2 linked regions of the Lytechinus pictus genome follow. The protein of the gene in region 1 interacts with the protein of each later gene in a pairwise test. Links are inferred from orthologs where the notes say so. Each region holds a gene or a part of one and is shown in the gene's direction. Other genes may lie near its edges.

Evidence for each region.
Region 2: the proteins of cyclin-D1-binding protein 1 homolog (region 1) and pre-mRNA-splicing factor SYF2-like interact in binary tests that used the Homo sapiens proteins (3 or more experiments, as listed by UniProt). The link is inferred for Lytechinus pictus from reciprocal best matches to the Homo sapiens genes CCNDBP1 and SYF2.

What each region holds. Positions count from the first base shown.
Region 1 is NC_087246.1:67,687,801-67,698,281, reverse strand, and holds the start of cyclin-D1-binding protein 1 homolog, read left to right. Parts: upstream 1-6,390; 5' UTR 6,391-6,527; intron 6,528-8,879; 5' UTR 8,880-8,938; coding exon 8,939-9,020; intron 9,021-9,481; coding exon 9,482-9,541; intron 9,542-10,481. UniProt on the Homo sapiens protein: May negatively regulate cell cycle progression. May act at least in part via inhibition of the cyclin-D1/CDK4 complex, thereby preventing phosphorylation of RB1 and blocking E2F-dependent transcription.
Region 2 is NC_087248.1:5,522,030-5,532,722, reverse strand, and holds the start of pre-mRNA-splicing factor SYF2-like, read left to right. Parts: upstream 1-6,334; 5' UTR 6,335-6,385; coding exon 6,386-6,406; intron 6,407-10,693. Other genes in the region: transcription initiation factor TFIID subunit 12-like, read right to left, coding at 302-463. UniProt on the Homo sapiens protein: Involved in pre-mRNA splicing as component of the spliceosome.

The sequences.
Region 1 (10,481 bases):
TTCGTTCCTTGAAGTTACCTTCCATTCAGTACAGAATGCGAAGAGGGGATATGATACAGACGTACAAGATCATCAATGGCATTGATGATTTGAACAAGGAGATGTTCTTTACATCTGCATCAACTCAGACAACACGTGGACATCTATGCAAATTGTATGTGAAGAGAAGCAGACTGGATGTTAGAAAAAATACTTTCAGTGCCAGAGTTGTAAATGACTGGAACTCCTTGCCGGCAGAGATAGTTACTGCATCAACCTTGAACAGATTCAAGTCACAGTTAGACAAGTTTTGGTCTGCAGTGCAATATACTCACCCTTGGGAATAGTAACTCTGGCACAGCACACAGGCACACGTTATTTTAATAGTTAGATGGAGATAGCAACAGTGATAGACCTGGAAACACGACTGCATAAGTAATTGCATTTTTCCAGTAGATCCGGTAATAAAGGTAATAAAGGTAATAAAAAAAATCGCACCGAAATAAAAAATCGCCAAAAATTCAAAACGCGAGTGATTACGAACTCGCACGCGACGCGAGTGATTATAAACTGCCTGTAGCGGCCGGTAGGTAGTGAAGTGGAGCCTGCACAAACTTCGCTCGATCTCAAGGTAGGTATTAATTATAACCTCGTTCGTACTCGTAGCCGTAGGATGAGTGGTAATACTAATACTTAATAGGATACACTGCATTGGCATACCATAGTCCTACCTGTAGATTCCCCACAGGCAGGATGGTTGCAGTGAGCAAGTGGGCCGAGTCGCCCCGAGGGCCAGGGCCGCAACCAACTTCATTCAAACTCCGCGGGCTTCACTCAACTTCGAACCGCTTTATAGTTATACTACCGGTATAGACCACTGGCTAGCGTTAAATAGGTTCTTGAAAGGTTCTAGAGCAATGCTTTCCGCGATGATCAATACAATAAACAATCATTACTTACAGATCTTCAAAAATTTCGAGGACTTTTCCATGAGACTTTATATCAGCAAGTTCCATGACTTCTGAAATGAAGTTCTGTGACTTGTGAGATCGAGATCATCGGAGTATAGCTCCCTATATCCGGCGTATGAGATAGGCCTGAAGATATCGACAGTTAACGTCAATTATAGTAGGATGGGGGTCGGGTGTCCGGACACTTTATATTTTGAAGCCGAAGTTGTCTTTGGATTACACTAAAACTATTAATTCAATAGTTCTAATCATCTTCTATTTTGTTCTTCATAATATTTCCTAACATTTTGTACTAAAAATTGATGAAATTTCGCTTGTAAATTTTTCCAAATGACTTTCTAACAACTGGGTGCACTAAACAGTAAAGATTATGTGCCTTTTAGAAGAAAAATGTTTTGTATTTCATTTTAAAAATTGACATAAAATAGAGAGTCAAAAGGGGCCTAATTAAGCTTTCGATCCTAGCAGAATCTTCGTCGGAGGCAAAATGACAAACATATAAAGTGATATATTATACAGAAAAACTCAAAAAGACCATCACTTTAATAAAAATAAATATAACCTTTTTCAAATATTATAATTATATTGATTACAGTGAATGATTTTCATTAACTCGTTAAACTCCATTTCTCTCAATATATCCTAAATCAGGGCCGTAGCCAGGATTTTCTATGAGGGGGTTCCGAATTATAAAGAGTGAACCTCCTCAGGACAAATCTAGCTTTCGCAAATACGGGGGGGGGGTGGTTAATTTAAAAAAAAATCATCTACATTTTCCCCGATCAGCCGCTTTAAATAATGCAGACATGCAATATCATTTTTTAATCTTCAGTTTATGTATTCTGATAAATGAACGCTCCACAGATTTTGGTACTGGTGATCAATGGGGATCTAAGTAACTTAGATCTAAACAATTAATGCGGGCGCAAAGCGCGAGCTCAAACTTGTAGCTAGTATACTAATTAATCCGAAAATTGTTTAGAACTGTTATGGAGAAGGTACTTATCTCACCAACCAATTAATGCGAAAACAATGAATATGTTTAATATATTCTGACATGAAAACCTAAAGCAAGGTTTCCACTTTGGCGAGTTAACATCGCGAGTTATGGCGAGTTATAGCGAGTTGCCAAAATGAGGCACTCGCGATAACTCGCATAAAGCTCACCATGAAACTCGGGATAACTCGCGACAACTCGGCGGAGCTCGGCGGAGCTCATTCAAGCTCGGGACAACTCTCCTTGAAGTCGTGAGCTGTTTCAAAATTTTTGAACATGTTCAAAAATTTTGCTAACTCGCTGTAACTCGTGCTGAACTCACCTAAACTCGTTATATACTCGCAGTACTCGCAATAACTCGTAAGAAGCTCGAGATAAACTCACAATAACTCGTAATAACTCGCCACATCTGAGTATACGCGAGTGCGTTCCGAGTTTTCAAGAGCGATATACGAGCATTGCGATCGTTTTACGAGTCAAATGGAGGTGCCCACGAGATTAGCGCGACTTTAGATCGAGCACCCCGAGTTACAGCGAGTTTCGTATGAGTTTATTCCGAGTGCGTTGCAATTGCTCAGAGGCATGCCAGCTGAATGATAAATGTCCAGTGATCTATATTTTCCCCACATATAAACCCCTCAAAAAAAGTTTGGAAATCTGATTTTGGGCATTAATTTCTCCCAACTCCAAAATTTACACATTGCATATTATTTTGACATCATTTAAAAGGTCATGAAATTTTCTTTACAATGATACCATGCTTGTTATGATCATGCCATTACGAAAAGAGCAGGATTCAAAAGTGTTGGATAAAGTCTGAATTGAAAAGCTGCAAAACGAGCAAAAAGGTTTGGAAATCTGAGTTTGGCCATTACTTTATCCCGACTCCAAATTTTACACAATGCATATTTGATATATTTTAAAAGATCATTTGATTCTCTTTAAAATGATCCCATGCTTGTTATGATCATGCCATCAAAAAAGAGCAAAATTAATAAGTGTTGGATGAGGTCTGAAGTAAAAAGCTGCAAAACGAGCAGAAGTAATCATGAAGGGTCAATACAGAACATGATTTTTTTGTCTGTGTCAATAAAGATGAAAATCCATTCAAATCAAACCCCTGCTTTTTCATTTCATAATGTTTTGTTGTGGTTTATGTTTGTTTGTTGTGTGTTTGCTTGTGCAGAGGTGTGTTTGATTCCATTTGAATGTTGATGTTAAGGTGCATGAAAACAATTGCTGAGAATCTCACTCATCATCATGGAAGAAAAGAACAGTGACTTTCAATATTGTGTCATTTTGCAAATTTTGAATTTTGACCTTGCCCCGCATTTCAAGGCACTGCACCTCCATGTGAGCCAAAATCATATCATGGAAAGTATCTTTTTAAAGAAAATTAAATGATCTATTCATTGATATTAATTCAACATTGATATTTACTAAAACCGAGGCGGGATTACCAATCAAACTCAAAAGAAACCGCTTAAAATACTCACTCATCACCACGGAAAAAGGAACAGTGACTTTCAATATTGTGTCTCTTTGCAACTTAATTTTGAATTTTGACCTTGCCCTACATTTCAAGGCACTGCACCTCCATGTGAACCATAATCATATCATGTAGGGTATCATTTTAAAGACACTTAAATGATCTATTCATTGATATTAATAACAATTGATATTTACTAAAACTGAGGAGGGAGTTTTGATTAAAGTCGGATTTCCAAACTTTTTTTGAGGAGTTTATTTTAAAGTGAGAGCACATTTTAACTGACCCACGCAATGTACACGTACTTTTAAAAAGGCTGTTTCCACTGCATTATTACAACTTTCAAAAAATAAGGAGAGAAATATGCCTCGATCCAAAAGATCCAAGAGTTGTGGCCATTCAGATAGGGAAACAGCGAAAGAAGATGACATTCAAACAAGGGTAGAAGAAGTGCAGGAAGAGACAATTGAAACGGAAGAGGAGGTCAATGATGAGCATGCAGAGCCAAGGTAAAAGAACAAGACATCAAACTAGACAATTAAGGTCCAAGTGGAGCGCCTCTGGCAGTCTCACCTGCATCACGCTATCCAATATAGAAGTAGTGCTGACTCTGAAAACTATTATAAAATAATTATTCACAAAAACACCATTCATACATTGATACAATACTACGTTCATTGACAATAAATGACATTTGACCTTTATCATGTGACCTAAGACTTGTCAGTGATACTAGATTACCCCTATATCCACATTTTATAAACTGTATCTAAACTTTGAAAGTTATGACAGCAATATAGTATTAATCTCCAAAATGGCCAAAGTTCAATAACCTTAAATGACCTTTGACTTTGGTCATGTGACCTAAAACTGGCATGAAATGTTCGGTGATACTTGACTACTCTAATATCCAAGTTGATGAATCATATCCATAAGCTTTCAAAGTTATGATGGTAATTCAACAAATACCCCCAACATGGCCAAAGTTTATTGACCTTAAATGACCTTTGACCTTCGTCATGTGACCTGAAACTCGCACAGGATGTTCAGGAATACTTGATTACTCTTATATCCAAGATTCATGAATCAGATCTATAAACTTTTAAAGTTATGATGGTAATTCAACAGATCACCCGAACATATCACTAAAGTTCATTGACCTTTGACCTTGGACATGTGACCTGATATCCGCACAGGATGTTTAGTGATACCTGATTACTCTTATGTTCAAGTTTCATGAATCAGATTCATAAACTTTCAAAGTTATAATGTTAATTTAACAAATACCCCAATTGGCCAAAGTCCATTGACCCTAATTGACCTTTGACCTTAGTCATGTGACTTGAAACTCAAGCAGGATGTTTATATACTTTAATAACCTTATGTCCAAGTTTCATGAACTAGGTTCATATATTCTTTAAGTTATGATGACATTTCAAAAACTTAACCGTTAAGATTTTGATGTTGATTCCCTAAACATGGTCTACGTTCATTGACCATAGATGATCTCTGACCTTGGTCTTGTGACCTGAAACTCGAGAAGGATGTTTTGTAATGCTTGATAAACCTTATGGTCAAGTTTCATGAACTAGGTCTATATACTTTCTAAGTTATGATGCCATTTCAAAAACTTAACCTTCGGTTAAGATTTGGTGTTGACGCCGCCTCCGCCGGCATCCATCTTTGAGTGCCAAAAATGTGCATTTCCCGCCCCTTGGTCGTATGAAACTCTTATCACTCGTAACAACATCTTTATAACTCGTTCATAGCTCGCTTTAAGTCGTATAAAGGTCACCGCAACTCATACTAAGCTCGGCCTGACTCGTTTCGCGCTCGGTTCACTCGTACAACGAGCGTAGTGAACTCGATGTTGAGTCGTTTGTCACTCAAGCAAATTCCAGGGGAAAATGTAAATTTCACGCGAGCTTGTGCGAGCTAAGGCGAGTTAGAGCTCGCGCAGCTCGCGTATGACTCGCAACTCCAACTCGCCAAAGTGGAAACCTTGCTTTAAGCCTTTTTTGTATCAATGATAGTGAAATAAAAAATTGATGCGAGCGAGAGGCGTGAGCTGAAATCTGTACTATGTATACTGACCCCAAAGCATGAAAAGGGACCTGTCAATGACTGTTTGTGAAACGCGAGCTGTTTAAGGTTTGAACTTTCTATTCACTTTTTTGATAATCATGAAAAGGATGGGTGTCTTGCTACAGAAATGATTCGAGCACTAAACGCGAGCTGAACATTTTGGTATTCCGATCTAAACTTCGGACATTTGAAGCACGCTATTTAATAAAGAACGAGTGTCGTATCTCAGATTCTTAATAACCAAAATTTATGCGAGTGTGAAGATCGAGTTAATCAAGTTAAGCACTGTTTAATTTAACATCAATTAAGAACCATTGCGACGCAGGCATAGGGGGCGGAAGCAACTTATATATATATATATATAAATAAACTGTTGGAACTAAGTACAATGCATTACCACTTTGCCTCATTAATATCTTCTATGTCCAACACGCGGAACGTAATATCGTTAGATGAGGCGAGGCCAATTAACTCAACAGATGACGCAGGACACCATTATTTGCTTTAGCTTTCGTCTTTTAATTGAGACTTCGTCAGAAGCGTCTGAAAAATATAAGGAGATACAACATCCAAGTTTGTTTTGCACAAACTTGGATGTTGTATCTCCTTATATTTTTCAGACGCTTCTGACGAAGTCTCAATTAAAAGACGAAAGCTAAAGCAAACAATGGTGTCCTGCGTCATCTGTTGAGTTGGCCTCGCCTCATCTCATTATGTTTAATATTCACAACTCAACAGCGATTGGTAGAAGTAAACTTATCATCACACTATATATATTTATTTATTTTTTTTTTTTTTTGGGGGGGGGGGAGCAAGTGCTAGAATTTCTCTGATCACTTTACGATATCACCTCTTAATTTAGTGATACCATACACATTTTGAACTGAAATTCTTGATACTTTCAGCCATTACCGGTGTCAGAAGTTTTGTGTGAATCTCCTGCTCTCTTCTTTCATATTTTCCAATAAGCAAGTCGTTTTAATCTTCCTTTACAAAACAATTTGTAGTAAGTACAGTTATGTTAATCTGAATATGTAGTTCTACTAAAAATTGTAGCTCATTTCCTTGTAGTATAGATCTAAATCTATGTCTGCGACAAGAGCCGAGACTCGCGAGAGGTGTCCCACATGTAGAATTCTGCGTAGGCCTAATTTGGCAAAACTAAGTGCCCGCAGGCGAATTGCGCATTCAGCATGCAACGTAAAATACTAATAATTAGATGGACAATATAAATTTTATTTGCACAAGTATTGTGCAATTTTATTGCTCCCTGATTCATCACTACCCTATCATGCCTATAATCCAATTCCATCAGGACAATGTTGGCGAGATTAGACTAGACAGCTGGCGGCCGTCTGTTTCGGGGAGTTTTGTTAACATAATAACAATAACATTTTTTTTTTTCATTTCTCGTACACAGATGAGATGGCTCACGATCGTGCAGCCGCCAATAGGGGTTAAAAATGCAAAATCCCCCCTGATCGGGCTCATCGATTTTTGTCTTTATTTCATAAACATATGATAATTTTGATATAGGGCCTAGGCCTAATTAAAAAGAACTTGACCAAAATAAAGTCAAAGATTATATTCTGTTTTGGCCTGAAATGCACCAAAACAGGAAAAAAAAAATTTAAAAGGAAAAACAGTGACTTACTTCGGCTGTCGCGCAACTCCCACTCCCTGGTTTATCCAAACTTAATACTTAAACATATGGCCATTGACTCTATTGAGTCCCTGTGCAAATCGAGTTAGAACTTCGGTCTCTAATTGGTGATGGAGCCAACGTAGTTCAGCGGAACAACCAATATAACAGAGAGTGTAAAAAAGTGTAAAAATAAAAACTTTTGTCAGGTGAAAAGAATTATTTTGTAGCATATTTTAGATCACAAGTTTCACCTACATTACAAAGTCTTGAAATAAATTCAAACACATGAACTGAAAGAGTGATTCTTCTCTTCAATAATCCCCAAATCATGAAATTTGATAAATATTTAGAGCAGCAATTACTGAATTAAAAGAGGTGAGAACTAGATATATTTGTTGACCCCCCCCCCTGACGATATGATAGATATAGTTTTCTTTATTTGCTAGGATAGTCATCCTCATTCTATACCGCCTTGCCACACTCAGTCTACTCTGTACTTAATTTTTTTGTCATACATGCATACTTTTTGTTTGTTTTTATTAATCTTTGCCACTACTTTCTTCATCTTTCTGGCCCAATCCTCTCTTGGTTCTTCTATCTATATCTCCTTTTAATTACCCTTTCCCCTTACTCACTTTTTCTCTGCCTGTCTCCCTATGCCGTCTTTATCCTTCCCCGTCTTCTCTTTTCTAATATATTTTTATTCATGCATGTACAATTGCCTCATTGTAGTGGTTATAATTTGCATACTTAATATTTATAATGTTCAATACAATGTATGATTTTATTTACTTTCAACAATTTATTTCCTTGTATTATAATAAGAAGTACTAGTAATTGTATTCAATTTATATCATTTCATGTTTGTACTAAAGTATTACTCTGTTATTGTAAATTGTACACATGTTTTTATTCAGCCTTTGGCTGCGAGGCATGTTTTAATAGACCATTATTGAAACGAATTGAAAAAAAAGGTGTTTGGTCCCCATCAAGCTCATTAAATACGCAAAACCTCTCTAGTCATGAATATCACTTGGATGAGAGAAGCCACTTTTTGAGACCTGCCTACTGACTGCCTTGCCTGCAAATCTACATGTAGATCTATCTATGGTATGCCAATGCAGTACACAGCACACAAAAAATGTCATTAAAATATCACTTTTGTGACTAAAAATACCAATTTCAATACAGTTAAGTTGCAATTTATTTTTCATAAGTAACCTGGGAATCATTTTTGTATTCTCCAGAGTGCTCAAATACTTGAATTTTTGGGCATATTTTTTTTTTTTTTGTGGAAAGTAAAGTTGCAAGAAAATTGTCATTTTTCAATCTCTATTTTTAATTTAGAAAAAAATATTAAAAGAATTCAATTTACTTCAGAGCCAAGTTATATGATGAATAGCTGTAATGGAAACTGACGTTGTCAAAAAATCAAGCATTTATCCCCAAGAACAATAGAAAATAAGCCAAACATTGCCAACCTTGTTTCACCAAACAGTGCATAGTAACAAAACAAGGTTATATCATTACCTTGTTCATTGAATGAGTGCACATACAGTATGGTATCCAAGTTTACTGTGACAATATTTCTAATAAAATTCCGCATTTTGATAGTAGTGGGGAGCAGACTTACGCCTATTTGTACATATTGTGGAAGTCTTTTATGTGAATGATATGTTCTAATCATGACAATATGTATATTTTTCTTGCAAGGTTCTATTAGAGGATCATTCAGTTTATAGCCTATAAACATTCAACAGAGAGTAAGACAGATGGCAGCTCATCCAAGAAGCAGAGATGAAATCTTCAAAAGTTTTGTGGAAAATTTGCAACTTGTTGTTGACAAATTAACAGGTAAAGAGCAGTTTGAAAGGTATTAATATCCCTTTTCCTTGACATTATGTGAGTGGGTTTATTTCATAGGGGAAAAAAGTAGGGAAAGGATGAAAGTACTTCTTTTCCTCACAACAGAAGGTTGGTCGGTCGGTGCAATGGAAAACTTGATCAACTGAGAAATCGCGTTGATATGGGCTCAACACTATGGCTAATATTAGATATCATTCTAACCAAATTAGAAAAAAGTGTTATTTACCCCATTCTTAATGATTGCGGGTTGAAATTTAACTGTGGATACTTCAAGGTGTACTTTGTTCTGATTAGATTACCTTCATATTTCACTTGTGAGAGTCAAATTAAAGTCTCTTCATCCTTCTCTTAATTTTACCCATGAAGAATCTATTGATGATAATTATGTTCACTTCCTTCATTCTATAATGTTTCACTAAACTTTTTTTCATTGTTTTCATCTAATTCAGAGGATGTGCCTTCTAGGGATGCTGCAGAATTTAATTTGGCTGAATATTGGATCAAAATGGGTAGGTTATTCAGCTGAAGAACTGTAGATCAAGGTTGATATTTGATGTCATCTGGCTATAGGGTACCAAAGTGTGATGTTATCAAGTTTCATTTATTGCATTTTGGCTTTTTTGATTCCATATGTGAAAAACATTGACGCACCAACTTTTTTGGGAATCGGGTCATGGTGCTCCAAGGTATGACCTGGTACATAATTGTTGGAACTAAGCCAATTTACATTGATTCCAATGGGGTTAATTAGGCATTCATATGACCACATCTTGGGCTCCCTGGCCCGATCCCCTTCCAAATTTGGGCTGTGGGGGTTTTTTAATCATGCTCCGCCGAGATATGGTATTAAAATGCTGAAATGCAAAAATATATATATATTTTTAATTTTTTTTGTGATATCATTACTTTGGTATTCTATTGCAGTTGAAGATGGTTTAAATTTTTAAGTACTTCTTTCCATTTAAATCACTAAGGATAAACTGTGCAAGCTTTCGTTCTTACCTAAAAATTTTCATAGAGATAAGCATTTTAGGTTTGACTGTAAATGTGTTTGACTCAAGGAAAAAAAAAATCCTGACAACCATAACGTTAAATCCAACGCAATCTAACACTCAAAATATCTGTTGTATAACAAGATGAACTAAATGTAGTAAGAGAAACAATTCAGGCAATTTCTCAATTATAGATCTACCTTTGAATATAAGAGTCTAGCTTGTCTGCATTCCCTGGAACTTGAGAATGTCAGGCTTGCCTGTGTTTTTTTCTCATTACTTTGATGGTGCTTTTCTGACTAAGATGGGAAAGTAAATTAAAAAATTAGGGGGAAACAAAAAACCTTACAGAATTTGAAAATGCTATTTGCATAGATCTGTCCATCATGCAAACCTATCACACTAATGTGTTAAAAAATTTGGACAGTACAAATACAAACAACCTCGGATCATTCTT
Region 2 (10,693 bases), on another chromosome or scaffold:
GCAACCTGGCGGCTTAAGGTCCTCTCTGAGGGACCTGGTAATGAGGATAACTGCCTTACCAAAGGGCACTAGCCACTAGGGCACAAAGTGGGAATGATGGGAATCGAAACTCCCGCTCTACCGACTGAGCTATAAAATCAGAAGTATTAATTTTTAAAACTATTTCAGTCAGAACCTCTCATACATACAGTAAAATATAATTTCACATGAATGTAATATTCAGTTATATGTTCACTTCATTTTCATCAAAATCAATGTATGGCACGTGGAAAAGAAATAATTTTGTTTGTAGTATACTCACGTTAATCTGAGTTTCAATGGCCTTGATGGTTTCCTGAAGTGTTTTACAGGGTACAGCTGCTTTGGGAACACCTCCTCCTCCTCCACTTCCTTGAACAGCTGAACCTGATGTAATTGGTACCAAGGGTGGTACTGACTGGTTGGTTGATGTCTGAGGATTCATGGTCAAGAACTAAATGGAACTAAACAAAATCAAAGAGAATGTTATTTATGCAACACCTGATCCTGATGAAAATAGTATCAAGGCAGATACAGAATGGGTAGATGACTGTCAAGACCTACATGTAGTGTATATGGAACAAAAGAAAATCGTAGAGAGCACCTAAACCAGGCTCGAATAAACCCACAGCAAACCAACGCAAAAGCCTCTCAGACTAATGCCCTCACAATGGCATCGATGCCCTTTTAAATATTTACAGAATTAGGGCTAAAATTGCAAGCCCCTTTTTCTTGAGGCGTTGGTGGCCTGTCTAACCCAGTGCAAGTGTCCTATTGAAAAGTACGTTTTACTATTGATGCCCTTTTAATGGCCTTGGATGCCCCTTAACATGAGTATCACCTTCCCTCTTCATCAAGTGCCCTTTTAAAAATGGTTTTGCCTCTCTGGCCCGTATTCTGAAGTCAGGTTTAACTTAGACCATGGTCTAACTTTGTGCTAAAATTATGGGAAGCCAAATATGTCAAAATTATGTTTTCATAATTTCATTGAATGCTTCTAATGCAGAGCTGCCAACATTGGGATGATAGAATCCAGTAGATTTCGCGGAGGTATGATTTTGTGAGGGAGCGGCGGAACGTTGTCCCACGGATGGGAGTTTTGGGTAGCAAAACACATTAGGAAACAACATTTGATAGTAACCGACAGCTGTCTAAACCATCAAAAAAAATTCTGATAGATTAAATGCACATTAGAGAGAATTCATGAATTGTCATTGACTAAATATACACTTCAGGCAATATACAGTAGATTTTTTTTAATAATTCATAAAAGAATGAATTCAACATGAAAATACCTTTATAATTGGCCAGAGGGGGAAGGGGCTGCAGAAGTGGTAAACATGGTAAATGAGCTTTATATGTGGACTGTTTAAAGTCTCTGAGGGATTCCTGTGAAAATTGTCACACAGTCCCATTCTGCTTGAAAACTATCTTTATACTTCGACAAGTATTTTGTCGTCTTGGATGACTCCATCTCCATGATCTCCATGGTCACTGGCGATGCGATTGTAGTGTGGATGAATCGGGACGCACAGCTCAGCCAGCCAGCGCCAGGCTAGCTCACTCACGAAACTCGAAAGAGAAAATGTTCGAATCCGATCAACCCAAGTGAAAGTAGGCGAAAAAATCTCCACTTTGCTTCTAATTCTTCAAGATTGTCAATAAAATTATTCCTGAAATTGAAAGTCGAGGTGTAAAAAAGTAATCCACTTGTTAATCCCATCGTTGATCCACAGTTTCAGCTCGAATAAGGCGCACGCAAGCTTACGAAAAATGCCTCGCAGTGCTCGTGAACTTTAATTCTCGGAGCTTCCTGGCGCAGCGCGGCGGGCTGGAGCCGCGCCGGGGCGCATCGGGGGCCATGTGCATGGAGTACCGCTGAAGAGTTTTCATCACACACACATGCAGAACCCGGAAATAAAATGGCTTGTTAGACTACTTCACCAGTCGTTCAGTAAAATTATCTTTATTTACATGCGAAATTAATGTACGATTATACAAAAACTGGTAGAAGTTACTGGGTAAAATGAAAATGTGATAAGGTGGTTCCACGTTGGTGTTAGGGAGTTGAACATGCTAGACTCGTTAAACAGTCGTTTGTACGAATTTTACAATTTAACAGCTAAAAATCCTGATTATCCGGGAGATTTTGGCATGGGGTCGGGAGAACGGGAGATTGGATCGTAATCCAGTATTCTCCCGCAGGATCCGGGAGACTTGGAAGCTCTGCTAATGTTCACTGTGCTCTTTCCTAATTGCGTTATGGTGAAGACAACTATCTTATTCATCCTTCCCAGACAATTAAGAATTATTTGAGACTAAAATGAGCTGATACATTCAACCTCTACTTTTACAGAATTATGCGACAACTGGCTTCCCATAGTTAAACCACAAATTTAAACCAGAGTTTAAATTAAACCTGACTTCAGAATATGGGCCTCTGAATTCTTAATTCGAGCCCTGCATACATGTAACCCATGATGATCCAAGTAAAGTAAAACAAGCGTTCTGGAGAACGAGGCAGGAGGAAAGTTAGGAAATAATAAAAATTCAAGAGGAGAAAAGAGAAAAACAAAGGAGATGAACAAACTACATGTAGATTGAATAGATTCACATGATCTATCATGTGAATCTATTCAATCTACATGTAGTTTTTCTCTTTTCTCCTCTTGAATTTGTATTATTTCCTAACTTTCCTCCTGCCTCGTTCTCCTTCTTCTCTTGTTCTCCACCTCGTTCTTCTTTGTCTTGATTTTCTCCTCATTTTCCTAGTATTATTATCCTCCTCCTCCTATTTCACAACCTTATTATTGATTATCATGATTTATTTAAAGGTCAAGTCCATCCCAGAAAAATGTTGATTCGATTAAAAAGACAAAAATCAAACTAGCATAATGCTGAAAATTTCATCTAAATCGGATGTAAAATAAGAGTTATGGCATTTTAAAGTTTCGCTTATTTCCCACAAAACAGTTGTATTCACAACTCAGTGACATGCAAACAAGACAGTCGATGATGTCCCTCACTCACCATTTCTTCTTTTTTTATTGTTTCCATTATACAATATTTCATTTTTTACAGATTCAACAATAAGGGCCTACTTAACTGAACCATATAGTATTAGAATAATGCAAATTCCAGGTGTTCTGGGAGGAATTAATCTTTGTTTCACTTGACAATGAGGAGAAAATTAGAGTACTTCACATTTCATTTAATAAAATTGGGATTGCCTCAGTTTACAGGGACGGTCTCAGTTTTCAAAGATTTCTCCACACAAGAGAATAAGGAAGTTCAATCACCTGTCTAGTGCCAACACCAATCAGTGTGCTAGTCAATGTAAACATATATCAGGTTTCATGTTATATAATAATTAGTATATACTACTAATTATTTATAATTGCATATCAAATTTTAGTATTTGTGAAATAATAAATTTTATCTATAAATTGTTCTTCAAAACGGCATCGCTGATCGGATGTACGTCATGACGAAGCGGTTCAAGGGTCAGGCCTATTGTCTTTGCTTTGTTGACAAACGGATCGAGGGATCTACAGGAGATCGGTCTGGTAAGAAACGTCTCATTTTTACCATTTATAGTGAAATAATTTTTATCCCTTTATACGCATTAGGCGCATGAAGGTTCATAGATAAATAAAGTTCACCCCTACAAACCGATTTCACCCTCTAACTATGGATTTCCTAGGGAAATCCATCTTTGTGTACATGTGTCTCTTAATACTCATATTATTAATAGTATGGCCGGCGGTTCAAGACTCCATTTTGAAGTATATGTCAAAATATTTAAAAAACATCATCATGGAGTCCTCAAGACTAGGCTGCACGATCGTGAGCCATCTGTACTCTGTGTAAGACCTCTTAACTTTAGACTGTAAGACAAGAGGAGAAAAAAAAAAAAAAAAAAACAAATTTAAAACTCCTCAAAACAGACGGCTGCCGGCTGTCTAGCTAGTGCTACTGCTAGCGAATAGCAATCAAAATGACCTCTTGCCATCCTGAAATGAAAGTAATATAATCAAATTGCTAAAATTGTAAATACTAGTATAGTCACGTATTGTATCACCGGACACTATCATGATTCCGGACGCGCATATTACTGCGTTCTAAAACAAATTCGTACCATAAGACTTCCGCAATTCAATTTCACAGAGCAATACATAGAACAAGATTGCAAAAACAAGGCAAAAAATCCAACGTTTACCTAATTATCTCTAAAAATGACAGAAAATGCTTAAAATATCATATAACATAGTTTTGTATTAACAATTGATATATTTTCTAACGGATATATGGGCCTGATTTGCCGAATTTCAATCTTGTCCACTCCTTCGATCGAATGATGAGGTGTGGTGTATTGTGGGTGATCGTCGATGGCTAGTTCTCAAGGTACCCGTGCGCAAGGTTTACCGTGAGTAAAGCTAGAGCCGTCGATCGGCAGCGCATCGATAGAACTTGATGAGCGTCACGATCGAACGCGAGCATATTATTATTGGAAAGTGCCATGGAACATGCAGCTAACAAGACAAAATAAAATAAGTTATCAAACACGAATTTATTACCAACATCTGCTCAGATTCGATACAAAAAAAACAAATAGGGAGGCCTAATACTTAGATTTACTCATGATATGATATAAGAAGAAAAAAATCACACAAATTTGCTCTTACATCATTATAATCAAGGATATCTTTACCCGTCCGGCGCGCGTCCAGAATCATGATGTAATTTGTCGCGCATGAAAATAATTGTTTTTCGTGGAGGGGTATGCGGCAAGTGCGATGCAAAGGCAAAGCCAAAGAAAATGGTTGGTAAATATAAAATAATTTTATCATATTCATAATTTTCATATTTGGAATAGCAGGTGTGAATTTTTCTTGAATGTATTTCCTCTAGTTGTCATTTTTAAAGCACTGAAATAAAGGTGTCCGGCAATAGGATACACTGCCATACTTAAGCTAATAGTGCCAGTGCCTGGTTAGTCCAGTTCACAGCCCTGGGGCGGTATTCTGAGGTCATTTTATCTTTAAAATATTTTATTTTATCTCTTAAAATGAAATTGGTATTCTGAGATGACATTTTATCTCTCAGATAAAATTAAAAATTTTATCTTGAGTATAAATTTTATCTTGCGTATCTATGATGATACACAACAAAGCAGTGGCTGCGTAGACATACCCATCGCGTATCTGGCCATTGCAACGCGGGTGATGTGCTTGCGCCCAAGTTACTTTGAAGAAAAAAATAAAATAAACTTAAAAGAGGGTAAGGGCTATTTTATCTCCGCAACGTTGATTTCGTCGATATTTCTAGGTGAATTAACTCCAAATGTTAGCATGAAAATTAAGAAAAATGATATATTCATTGAGAACAACACCTTAAAGTTATTCCTGTACAATCAGGAAGCATTTCATAAGACTTTTCTTGACTAATATTGTCTTTGAAATGATGCTTGAAAAGATGCGATATAGACTTCGAAAAAAAGATGAGATTATTTCCATTTTTGTTAAAAAGAAATCTCTGTAAGGACGCGCAGGCGTATAGTGCAAGCGTATTGAAGTCAATAAATTGACGCAATCTCACTCCTTCGCCACACCTCCTAGCGGAATGGATTTCCATTGGTTGAGTGATATGAGAGAGCTATAAAAGCGCGTTTCTAATTGGATATTGATTAAAAAATAGGTGTGTCTTACAGAGATAAAATGGAGATAAAATTGTTCTCAGAATACCAATTCGGAGAGATTTTAAGGGTATTTTATCTCACTGATTTTAACGGAGATAAAATATTTTATTTTATCTGAGATAAAATGGATCTCAGAATACCACCCCTGAGCATGCAGGGTTGGAGCAACCCGGCGCCGGCCTGGCCCCGCAGGCGGACTACCGGAGTCCCGGCGGGGACAGCTGTCGAGTGTCGTAGCAAGTGCACCTTCGACCACGCTATTGCCGCTAGAAACATGAAAATATAGACTTTGCACTTCTTTAATCTAGTATTTCTAAATGTCAACATCTAACATTTTACCTAGATCTGGCAGACTTTACCGACAGAATACTAGAAAAAGGTGTAAATGAAATTTTAAAAACCTCACCACTGACAGAAACTGGCAAACAACAACGACCCACAACTACAAGCCACACCAATTTGCAATTTTTGCTCCGATGTAGTCGAATATTCGAAGCAATAATTCTAAAAAAGTAATACTTTTAAAATTAATGATAATAATAATAAAAACTTTAAAAATTTATGAAATATTTTTTATTTCATTATTTTTGCTGATATAAAATTTTCCTCTTCGTATTTTTTATTTGAAGATTTGTTTAATGTAGAGCGAGGACATTATTTCGTACAACAATGGCAGCTTCCTGTGATCAGGTTAGAATTTATTTTCATTATTTTTTGTCAGATACAATTAGTTCTGGTAGAGTAATTATCATCATGGCGTGCTAGTTATCTCTGTATAGTGTATTTTAGTAATAAATGTTGGTATTTGTGATGTTCATGTTATTGTTGATGGCCCTGGCTTCGGCATTCCTACTCGTCGCGATCGCGTCAACGTCCCAGAACCTCCGCAGATTTCATCTGTTCGAGGCGCAAGCCAGCCGCGCCGGGGAACTAGCGGCCCAGGTTCTGGTCATGATGAACACTGCTTTATTTCGGCGGGGGTACGAAAGTGCACTAGCGCCATACTAATCTAAAATCTGTCACCTCTCTTCTGTAAAGAGCATGACTGCTAACGTCTAACGATTTAAGTCATGTTTCACTATAATACTGTAAACAGGAGAAAAGGAAGTCTGCAGTGTTTTGGAGCAATTGAATTATAATACTATAAATCAGAGCTGTGACTCTTTTGTGAGCTGTGTGAGGTTTATCACAGGACAGGTGACTACACATCTCGCAACCCAGCCCCAGGCAGCATCACCAGCATGAGAGAAAAGCTAAAACACTATCCTCAAGACGACAAGTCCTGAACTTCTGAAGTTATCTTCCTTCTTCAAGGTGGTCGAGGGGTTGGTCCCAGCTAGCCTGGAGGCGTCTGGAGAGTAAAAATCATGGTACTATACGTACCCTCACTCTCCAAACGCCTGGAGCGGCTTAGTATGCCTCGCTATAGAGGCTAGGATTACCCAAAAAATTTAGGTCTAGTTTCACCAATTTCTATTTTTTGTGAATCGCCCAAACTTTTGTACATGGGCAAGTTTTATGTTTACCCCCATTTTTTATCAAATTTGTATATTTTTATTTCTTTATTATTCTTAAAATGGAAGAAAATTAAGAGCAAGAGTATTCACTTACCCCGTCTGTTTACGTCGCCATTTTGCAGTCTTTTGTTATCGATACCTAGATACCAAACGCGTGCAGAGCTGCAACTTAAATTTTAAAATTACTTGCATTTGCCGATTAATATCACGATTCATAAAATATTTGTTTCGGTTAATAAATATCATAAATTAATTTATGTGATATTTATTGATTAAAACAAATATTTTACGATTCCTGATATCTATCGGCAGATGCAAGTAATTTTTTAATCCAAGTTGGCAGCTCTACACTGTAGAGCTGCGTTTGGTATCTAGGTATCGATAACAAAAGACTGCAAAATGGCGACGTAAACAGACGGGGTAAGTGAATACTCTTGCTCTTAATTTTCTTCCATTTTAAGAATAATAAAGAAATAAAAATATACAAATTTGATAAAAAATGGGGGTAAACATAAAACTTGCCCATGTACAAAAGTTTGGGCGATTAACAAAAAATAGAAATTGGTGAAACTAGACCTAAATTTTTTGGGTAATCCTAGCCTCTATAGCGAGGCATACTAAGCCGCTCCAGGCGTTTGGAGAGTGAGGGTACGTATAGTACCATGATTTTTACTCTCCAGACGCCTCCAGGCTAGTCCCAGCCCTTCCTATTGAGAATTTCTTGACTAAAATAAGGCCAAAACGGAAAGTCAAAACAAAACAATTTAATGACTTTCAAGCACAGAATATCTTAGAAAGACAAGTACTAGTGAACCACAATAAAGGTTACACTATTCAATCAACAAACACTGAACAATTAAAACAATCTTTTTTGTGAGTACCCCTCTGGCTTGGAACCATCTCCCACCTGACTAGAGGTGTTCAAGTCAAAGATCGAAAAGAGCTACCTACGATACGACTAAATATCACCGTGCCTTCTCTCACCCGCTGCATTCATACCAATTGGTCCAGCAGTGTACACATCCTGATCCAGAATTAATACAATTTTTTTAGTTACAAAATAAAAAAGTTCAAGTTCGTCTTTATTTATTTAGGATCTATCAAAAGTATCATATAGACTATCAAAAATTTGTTTTGTTCACAACTTCAAGTCGATAAACGTGAAAAATGCCATATTAAACATATAAAGCCATTAAAAGTAGATCTAATACATCATTATAAGAAATCGAAAGTAAATACCCGTTTACATAAAGACTAAAGCCATAACCATAAAGTCAGAAGTGATAACATTAATTCCAAAAAGTTACTGTACTGCCTCCAAAGAGGTTTAAAATACATGTGTGTTATCAGCATTTCATTAAAGTTTAAAAATGTCCTTCCAATAAAAATAGCATGAAGTATTAGCATGTTAAATCCTAAAAGCTATACTGTTTTGCTGTCAAAAAAAATTAAATTAGATGTGTGTAATCATTTTATCACAAGCAGTCTAGCATTTCAAAAATTCATTCATTTCAAATTCATTGAAGCATGAAGTAATACAAAAATACCATGTTTTCCAATAAATGAACAGCATCTTTTTTCCCGCTTCATAATCTTGAAAAGTCAGTTGCGGTTTATCCAAAGAAACATTTAATTGTCATCAATAAGCTGACTTTAACTGTTAGGTTTCTTCATTGTTTGAATTTTCTGGAACAACCAAGAAACATAGAATGTTTAAAGGGAAATCCAACCCAAATAAAAGTTGTTTTATAAGGAAACAAAAAATCAGACAAGTTGATAGGTGAAAATTTGAACAATATTGGACAAACAACAAGAAAGTTATGAATTTTAAAAGTTGTAAATATTGGTAATCACTATACCCATGGAGACTTCAAATTGGCCGCATATGGGATGTCATAGTGATGTAAGGCAAGGACTACTATTCCATGTACTCCAATACATATTATGGCTAAAATGTCATTTTTCCAAAAAGTTTTATTTCAAATTATATTTTTCTTTCATGAGGACATACAACAATATACTACCTGGGTTATATTTAGATTACTGCCCCAGGGGAATGGGTACTTAGGAGAAAAACACAAATCCCTGATAATAAAGTACATGGCCTATGGGAAAGTTATCCTTGCCCCATGTCATAATTTACTTACGCAGTTGCCAATTTGAAATCTACATACATGTAGTATTAGTGATCTCAATTTTAAAGCAGCTATAACTTTCTTATTGCTTGTCCGATTTCTTTCAAACTTTCACCGTTCTGTTTGATTTATTTTTCTCCTTCCCAACACAACATTTTATGGCCAAGGCTGGATTCCCCTTTAATATAATTATTTGTTGGTTAATAAAACAATTAATTTTTGGTAAGACAGTCTTTATTGAAAAAATTCTTTATAAAGGTTGTTTTATTCATTTGATTACTATTGATTTAATGTTTTTCTTTAAAAAAAAACCTGGTTGTTTTGTGATGAAATTGAAAACTTGTTTTTTACAGCTAAAACTGCATGGAAAATGCTCTACAATTTGCATGTAATCGTAATCGGTTATAAAAAAAATGCAATAAATTATGTCCTTTTTTCTTCATTTATTTTCCACCTTTTTCTCTCAACAATTTTTTTTTTTACTTTTTCCCTTTTCATACTGTAACTTTGATATTCAATACTGCCATTTCATGATCTTTTTTCTTTATTCTACAAAGAAATAATTTATATTCTTCGAAAAATAAAAAAATTTAAAAAAGTTTTTTAAAATACCAAAATTAATGATATACATGTACAATGTATCGTCTGATCTTTGAATGATTAATCAGTAAAAATGTTATCACCTGCCAATATTTTTTTAACCACCAGATTTTTGGGCTGCTGTTTATTTTCTGGAAATTATGGTAGTTACATCATATATTGTGCCTATGTAAGACATAAAAACACCACTTTTTGCTTTGGATTTTCTTGAAATTCATGCATTAAATGGCAAAAATAAATACTTTTTTTTTTTAAATATTGTCCGAGACTGATAGTGATACTAGTCCACTAGTCTACAAGTAGTAGCAGATCTAGTAAAAATGTAATTATGAAATGGTGATCACAAAGTTCCGAAATTACTTTCTTAAAATTTCTGTAAATTTTATGTAATTTTCATCGTTATGAGGATTATTTTGATATATTTTTTATGGCAAATTATGAGCTTTCTAAATATTTTTGTTGTACAAACATATGTACCTATGCATGTATTGTAAGGAGGGTTGGGCTAAATTACAAGGTAATTGATCCATTACATTAATTTAATTTAATTTTGTAAGTAATTGTAATTGTATTTGGAAATTTTGAAAGGGAAAGTAATTATAATTGAAAAAAATGTAATTGGACTTCAATTACTGTCAATTACTTTTAATTACATCAATTACTTTACAATAAATTACTTAATTTATGATTTGATTTCATGACTTTTTACATGTCAACTGATTCAG